2 linked regions of the Canis lupus familiaris genome follow. The protein of the gene in region 1 interacts with the protein of each later gene in a biochemical or structural test. Links are inferred from orthologs where the notes say so. Each region holds a gene or a part of one and is shown on either strand. Other genes may lie near its edges.

What was found.
Region 2: the proteins of MBP (region 1) and TLK1 form a complex in vitro, tested with the Homo sapiens proteins (2 studies listed by BioGRID, with this or other methods). The link is inferred for Canis lupus familiaris from reciprocal best matches to the Homo sapiens genes MBP and TLK1.

The regions. Positions count from the first base shown.
Region 1 is NC_049222.1:2,890,244-2,893,802, reverse strand, and holds part of MBP (myelin basic protein), read right to left. Parts: intron 1,832-3,559; coding exon 1,395-1,831; intron 1-1,394. UniProt on the Homo sapiens protein: The classic group of MBP isoforms (isoform 4-isoform 14) are with PLP the most abundant protein components of the myelin membrane in the CNS. They have a role in both its formation and stabilization.
Region 2 is NC_049257.1:15,984,091-15,988,300, forward strand, and holds the start of TLK1 (serine/threonine-protein kinase tousled-like 1), read right to left. Parts: upstream 2,856-4,210; 5' UTR 2,742-2,855; coding exon 2,603-2,741; intron 2,325-2,602; coding exon 2,286-2,324; intron 1-2,285. UniProt on the Homo sapiens protein: Rapidly and transiently inhibited by phosphorylation following the generation of DNA double-stranded breaks during S-phase. This is cell cycle checkpoint and ATM-pathway dependent and appears to regulate processes involved in chromatin assembly.

The DNA of each region.
Region 1 (3,559 bases):
GCTTGATAGCCGTGCTCTGAAAAAGCACCTCGGACTGAAATCAACATTGGAAATAGGTCAGATGCCCAACATTTTGGGGTGACACAAGACTGCCCAAAAGGAAAAGCAAATGTCTACAAACACAGACACTGAAAGGACCAAGCAGAAGGTGAACGCTGTCAGCACTTAAGACGCGCCAAATGTTAGTCACGAGAAGGCATGACCAGTGACATGTGAGTGATGGCACCTGGGGGCAGATGCTGGGGACCTCACGACCAGCACCTGCGACATCCCCAGCTCCTGTGCCGCCATGTCCCCTAATTCCAACGTGGCAAAACTGCCTTTGTTTAAACACAAATCGCTCAACGATTTCACAATCAGCAGTAATTCTAAATTCTGTAGTTAGAGACTGAGCAAGTTTTAGAGACCCCTTTAGAAACCACAGGTCAGAAGCCTCTTTACATTCCCAAGACTTTCAGAGTCAGCATGATACGCACGCAGCCAGAGGAAAAGTGACAACTTAGGTGTTTTGTGAGCACAGCCAATAAACCCGGGCTTTCCCCAAAAGACCCTCTGCTTCCACAATGACCCAGCCAGGCAACACCCGGAAAAGGCATACAGCACTCTATGTGCTTGCTACGGCAAAGCCACTCGGGACTCAGCTCCCTGATGGGATGTCACCACAGATGCCCCATTCACACCGACTCCGGGAGCCACTGCTGGAAACTCGGGAACAATGGGAGCTTTTTCCCTTGCAATACAATTTTTATCTACAGAACATTTACATAATTACATAATGAGAGCTCACAGATTCTCTATTCAAATTAATGGAATAACAAAGTAATACAGTTTTGATTCATAGGCACTCTCAAGGATCCCTCCACCCCTTGCCCCTCAATAACTCAGATAAAAGACATATCTGCTCAAGGCGAATTTCAATCTTGAGTTTGTTCAAAAGTCCTCAATCGCATGATTGTTCCGAGACAACGCGAAGCTACAAGACAACGCGAAGCTAGCAGCGCTGACACCAAGAAAAGTGAGCACAATGCGACGTCGAACCCAAAAGCGCGGGCGCAGAAGCGAATCAGCCCCCAAGCCCCCAAGCGTGAGATGCCGGTGACCCGAGAACGCGGTGCCCGTGCCGGGCCCCCCTACGGATGCGGAATTCAGGATGTCCCGGCATCCCCTGTGAGGAGGGGAGAGAGGCTGAGCTGTGTGGAAATGCGGCAAAGCAGCAACCCGGCCCCCCGCCCCCCGCCCGCGCCTGTGGCCCGTGAGCGTCGCCAGCGAGGACAGACAGTAGCGGGACAGCATCCCCGCTGGGGCTTAGCTCACCTGCTCACTCTCCTTCCTTTTCCTTGTCAACTAAAGTGGACACACGTGGTGTGCGCCCCTAGTTACTCCTCAGAGCTCACCTTGCCTGAGCCCCGCTTGGGCACACCCCTGTCACCGCCAAAGAAGCGCCCGAGGGAGTCAAGGATGCCCGTGTCTCTGTGCCTCGGGAGGAAGCCATGCCTGGCGTGATCCATGGCGCTTGCTGAGGCCAGGTACTTGGATCCGTGCCTCTGGGAGGGTCTTTTCTGTGACGCCATCACATCCAGGCCCTCGGGAGTGGCTGCGCTGTCCTCTTGGATGGTCTGGAGCTCGTCTGACTCCGAGGGCCTGTCTTTGAAGGTGTTGTCCTCCCTCCCCGGGGCATCTCGGGAAAAGAGGCGGATCAAGTGGGGGCGGCCCCCTGGGTCAGCTGGGTTGGCGTCCTGCCAGGCATTCTTTGGGTCTGCTGTGCGCTTGGAGTCTGTCACCGCTGTGTCCTGAGAGGGGGTCCCATTGTTCTGCTCCACATCTGCCTCCCCTGCAAACAACAGTGAGATATGAACACGGGCCGTGCAAAGCAGAGTGAGGGACAATGCGGCTTTCTTCCAGGGCTGGGGACCTGCTTGTGTCCTACCAAACCCACAGAATGCATGCGCGCCCGGGGCCGTCAAGCTACCTGGTAGCCCCAGATCACTCGTGGTGGGACCCAACCTGGACTGAGCGTCCTACTTGCAGGTCTTGTCTCGGGGAACCCCAGGGGCTGCCTCAGTTACTCGACACCTGGTGCCCTAGATAAAGCGTACCCCAGCTTCCTGCTGAGGAGGCCCAAGCAGACACAGCAGTCACCCCTGGGCGCCGCCGCTGCTGCTGCTGGGCGTGGAGGGGCCAGGGCTGCAGGCGCCTCTGTGGGACATCGAATCCCTCCAACTCCACTGGTGCACAAGCTAAGCGTGTTGGGAGCAGTGGTTTGATCAAAGGTATTTTCAGTGTTCTCGATAAAAATGGAACTTCCCACATCTTTTTGCAATTCATGCCCTAAAGAAATGGGGCATTTAGAATCCTTGAGTTTCCAGATTCCACAAGAGGCCTCTTGCATTAGAGAATTGCTTATTCAGGGTATTTTAATTTGGCTTTTCTTCTGCAAGCAGCCCCAGTTACAAAGTGTGAAGTGGGAATGGCGTATTCTGTGAGCCATATGACCTTCTCCCAGCTTTCACACATGTACGGGAAAATACCGCATTTCCTTCCAGAATGGCAACACACCCATTTTGCTCTCAAGTTACAAGTTAGGTTTGAGGGTATGTCCACCCTACTTCACTCCCCCCTTCATTACATATCTATAGAAAATGTGGGTTTACTCATGCTTTCCTCTAATATCATCCATCCATCCATCCATCCATCCACCCAACCAGCACCAATCTGTTCACTGACATTTACCAGCAACAGCACCCACTTGCCCATTTATCTGCTGAGCCACCTACCTACCAATCCAGCTACTGATCCAGTCACTGACCTGTCCACCCAGCTAACCCTCCACCCAGTCAGCTGCACATCTTTCCACCTACCCACCCAATCACCCATCCATCTGCCCGCCCACCCACCCAGCCCCCCAACCATCCATCCACCTGCCCAACTACCCACTCACCCAGCTGTCCAATCATCTATCCACCCACCCCCAGCCAACCACCCACCCAACAGCCCAACCATCCATCCACCCACCCAACCATCCACTCACACACCCAACCACCAACTCAGCCACCCATCCATCCACCTGGCCACCCATTCATTATTTATGGAGCACTTAATAACCATCATATACTGAGCTAAATGTTTGGGCTGCAGTGATGAAAAAGATGTGGTCCTTGTCTCATAAACATTAATGGAAATGAATATTAGGAAATGAAGTATCCCCCAAAAAGGCAGGTCCCCATCCTAAGTCTCAGTCCCTGTGAATGTAAACTTATTTGGAAATAGGATCTTTTGTGGATATAATCCAGGTAAGATGAGGTCGTCCTGGCTGAGGGTGGGCCTAACCAAGTGACTGGCTGGTGTCTGTATAAAAAGAGGGAGATACAAAAGGGATATAAAAAGATACAGACGCAGACACACAGGGAAGGGACCTTGGGATGGTGGCAGGGACGGGAGTGACGTGGGAACACCCGAAGGTAAGAGACAGGGCACAGGTCCTCCCCTAGAGCTGGTGGCGAGAGCACAGCCCTGCTGACACCTTGGTTTCAGATTCCCGGCCTCCAGACTTTGAGAGAAG
Region 2 (4,210 bases), on another chromosome or scaffold:
CAATATATCTTCAAAAACAGCCCATTTTCAAAGTTAAAGTTTGCTTAAGAGCACTTCATCACATAACCTTAAAAATACATGTACACATATATATCTTTTAAGTCCAAATTTTTCTATTATATATTACATTAAATTGGTTCAATTCTTCAGAAACAAAGTTTGTTCTCACCTTGATACATATATTCAAGTTCTACTAATATTATTATTATTATTATTATTCTTACAGTCACTGTAAGTCCAAAGCTCTCTCAACGTACATCAATTTATACAATATACTAACACGTACACCTGCAAAAGATGCTAAACACTTGTTAAAATGAAAACTGGGATCTCACTCAATAGAAAATGTCTTCATCGTATATCTAGGGTTTCATATATGCAATTCCTGTTAGCACTAATGATATGAGACTGTAGCTTCAAGATAAATATATATAACCCTTGAGAAGATTAACACAGTTTTAACTTACATGCTGGTTGGTCAAAAAGAAATACACCACTGTGGCCATAGAGGTACTTGGTGAAATATAACGATCACAAAAGCATGTCTTGTTTTTTCATTAACAAAAGATTCACTAATTTACTTTATAAAAAGCCTACTGTAACCCAAACTTCTAGAAAGAATTCTGGTTATTCAGAAGTTCAAGCTAAATTATTCCAACCCCTCAGAATTTTCAAACATCAGGAAAAGTACAGAATAGTATAGAAGTTTGTTTTTTGTTTTGTTTTTTTTTTTTTTTTAACTAGAGTTGAAGTAATCTCAGAAACTCACAATCTAATTTTGCAGTCCCCAAATTACTGATAACTGATGTTACAGATGAACAATTCAACACTATGTCCTCTCAGTATCTAGTACAGCCCCTGGCTCACAGAAATGGCTCAATAAATATTTGAGAAATGAATGAATGAAAAAAAGGTAAAGCCTTTTAAAAGGCAGTCTTTCCCATGGCCATCATTTACTATAACTCATTGCACTCTCACTGATAACACTACCATTAAGCATCTTAATGAAACTACAAAAGTAGAAGTATGCTAAAAGCACCAACTGCTCTGTCTACAAAATAGATTTTGAAACATTCATTTACAAATTTTCAAGTGCAAAAAGAAAAATCGCCAGATGCACTAAATTTGAATTAGTCAAAAAATAAACTTTTATCTTGTGATAATCAGAACTCGGTGTTGGGGGTGAGAGGGAAAGGGGTCTGTTAATACATTCTGCTTGTCTAATGGATGCCATAAATCAAATCTTTCCATGAATTTTCTGGAGCAAATTCATGCCAATCTTTGAGCCTATTGTCACTTTCACACATGCTCACAGGAACAAAATGACAAAGAATGCTATGCCTGAACCACTAGATTCAGGGCACAAAACACTTGATTAACAATTGTCAAGGCCAGATAGTAAATATTGACAGAGATCTTCAAAATAAATTAACCCCACCGATTCCTACATAAATTAAAGCTCCTGGTTTCTTTGAAGGATTCACCAGACTACTGGACTTCCAGACGTTTTTTTTTTTGAAAATGTGGCTTCAGTCTCCCTGTGTGACACAACTGGGAGTGCACAGAACAACCCATTTACCAATTGCTGATGAATACCGCTAAACGTTTTCCCAGACAAAAGGGGCGTCAAACGCCGATTCCACGCGCGTTACATTCTTCCCCCATAAACGCGCGTTCTCCCAGATTTCACCTTATGTCGTACACTTAAAGTTAAATACAGCAAGTTAAAAAATGTAAGTCAAAAGCACTCCTGTGTCTTACTATGGCTGTGTAACTGCTACATCTGGCGGCAGCACCCTTTGCATGCAAGAAACCAGAAAACTTAGAAAACAATTGCTAACCGATCCGGTGCGTGTTTGCATTCACCTTTACCCCGGTTGTTTCCCGCAAGACCCCACGACCCTGCGAGAGAGAGAGAGAGAGAGAGAGAGAGAGAGGGGGGGGGGGGAGGGAGAGAGGACGCACAGACGCGCGGGAGGTGATGGCGAAGGAAGAGAAAGTTGCAGCCATCTGGAGGGGGTGGTTTTAAAAGCCTGCCCACGAGTCCAGCCTGTCGTTTAAACTGCTCTAAGGGGCCAGGCAGGGGATCCAAGTCGGGCTTTGACAATGTAAGCGACTCCCCCCGCCCCCCCCGCCCCAGGGGCAGGGGCCGTGCCAGCGAGGGCATCCTCCTCCGGGTCCCGGGCTGCGAGGCTCGCCGAGCGGGGACCGCCTCTAGGGGAGGAGTGCGCGGGGGAAGGGGAGGGGGCTCAGGGATGAAGGCTTCACCGGGAGGGAAAACCCACCGGAGAGCGGAGGCCAGGAGGTTAAGAGCGCTGAGTGCACTAGCAAATGGAGCAGAAAGGGGCTGGCGTCCGGGGGGAGCGGGGGGGCGCTTCCCACCCTAGCAGCCAGGCTGCTCCGAGCCCCGTGCGAGTCTGCGCGCCGCGCCGCGCCCCGCGCCCTCCGGCGCGCACCCCCTCGGCCGCCGCCGCCGCCGCCCGCGAACCGCCCCCCGCAGCCGGGCGGCCTCGCGTCCACCTCGCCACCATCCCCCACCCTGGGGTCGGGGAGAGAGACCGGGGGGGAGCGGAGGCCCGCGGGCGGGCGCGACGGCGCTTACCTTCCCTGGGCCTCCCGGATGGCGGCGTGTGATTCAGCAGGGACCTGGCCGCCGCCGCCGAGCCCGGGGTTGGAGACGTGGAGAGCTGGGACCAAGATGGCGGCCCCTCCAAACTTCCACTGCTACTTTGGACACTCATCAAGCTACTTTCTGGGAACCCGACTCCCCCCGTGCGACGGCGGCGGCGGCGGCGGCGGCAACGGCCCCGGCACCCGCCTCCGTCATGGCGGGGGCCGCGCGCTGAGGGCGAGCGACGGAGCGAGGGAGGGCAGGGAGGGGAGAGTCAAGGGGATGGGGGAGGAAGCCGAGGAGGGGGGGAGGTGGGGAGGGAAGAGGTGAGGGGAGGAGGAAAAGGGGGAGAAGCGAGGGAGCAGGCGGGCGCGCCGGGGAGGAGGCGGGGGGAAGGAGCGCGGCGGCGGAGGCGTCGAGGGGGCGCCCGCCGGGTGCGGGCGGAGCGCGGGCAGCGCCGGCCGAGGGCACTTCCGCGAGCGGAACCTGCCGGCACCTCTGCAGTGCGTCGGCCCCCGGCGTCGCCTGGGCGGCGGCGGCGGCGGCGGCGGGCGGTGGGTGGCGGCTGAGGCGGCTGAGGCGGCGGGGTAACCTCTGCATCAGTTACAGGCGGCGGCGGCGTCACGCGCCGCCTGTGCAAACACTATCGCGAGGCTCCTGCGCCTCCGGTAGCGGCGGCGGCGGCGGCGGCGGCCGCGGGAGCAGGCAGGGGGGAGGGACCTGCCAGGGGTGGGGGGGGGGGGGGGGGAGGGAGCCCGCGCGCCCGGCCGGAGGGAGGGAGGGAGGAGACGCGGGCGCCCGGCGCCCCTGGCGCCCCCGCCGATCGCAGCGCGGGGCCGGCGGACTGGCGAGCGCGGGGGCGGCCTCCTCGCGCCGGCCGGAGGGAGGCGCACCCCGCACGCGCCCCCGCCGCGTCGCTCCGCTCGGGCTCCCGCTCCGGAGCCACCTGACTCCCCCCCGCCCCCGCCCCAGCCCCAGCCCCGCGCCCGGCCCGCCCCCCTCCCTCCCGCGGAAGCGCGCCTTGCTCCCGACCCACACCCCGCCTGGGGAGAAGCGCGTCTGCCTCGCCGGGCTGCCGTTCTCAGGACTTCTAGCCGATCATTTCTCGAAACGGAACTGGAAAGTTAAAAGAGTTGCTTGCTTGCTGGTGTCTCTTGCCCCTCCGTACTGTGCAGAAAAAAAAAAAAAAAAAAAAAAAGACCTCCGTGCGTCTCCGCGTGTGTAGAATTGGGAGTGATTACTGCATAAAAGAGCTCAAAAAATAAGTTGGGGGCGAGGGTGGGTGAAAGTAAAAGTTGATGAATGTTTTCCAAAAAAAGACCATCCTTGCCGGTGTTGTGCACTCTGTGCAGTAGAGCAGCTCTTAAAAAAAAAAAAACAAAAAAAGTAAACGGACGATCTAAATAGAAAATTGTAAGTAATGCACTTGTTTAGGGAAACTATCCAGTGTTCATCTTGTGTTAGGGGGTATGGTTTCTAGAAAGTTCCAATTCGTCCCCATGCCGCCGCTGAGTCCCCTGCTAGAAAATCCCAAAGCAAATTACAGCATTTGCTAAAATTTATAGATGCAGTGTGGCTTTCTACACACCTACACACGTA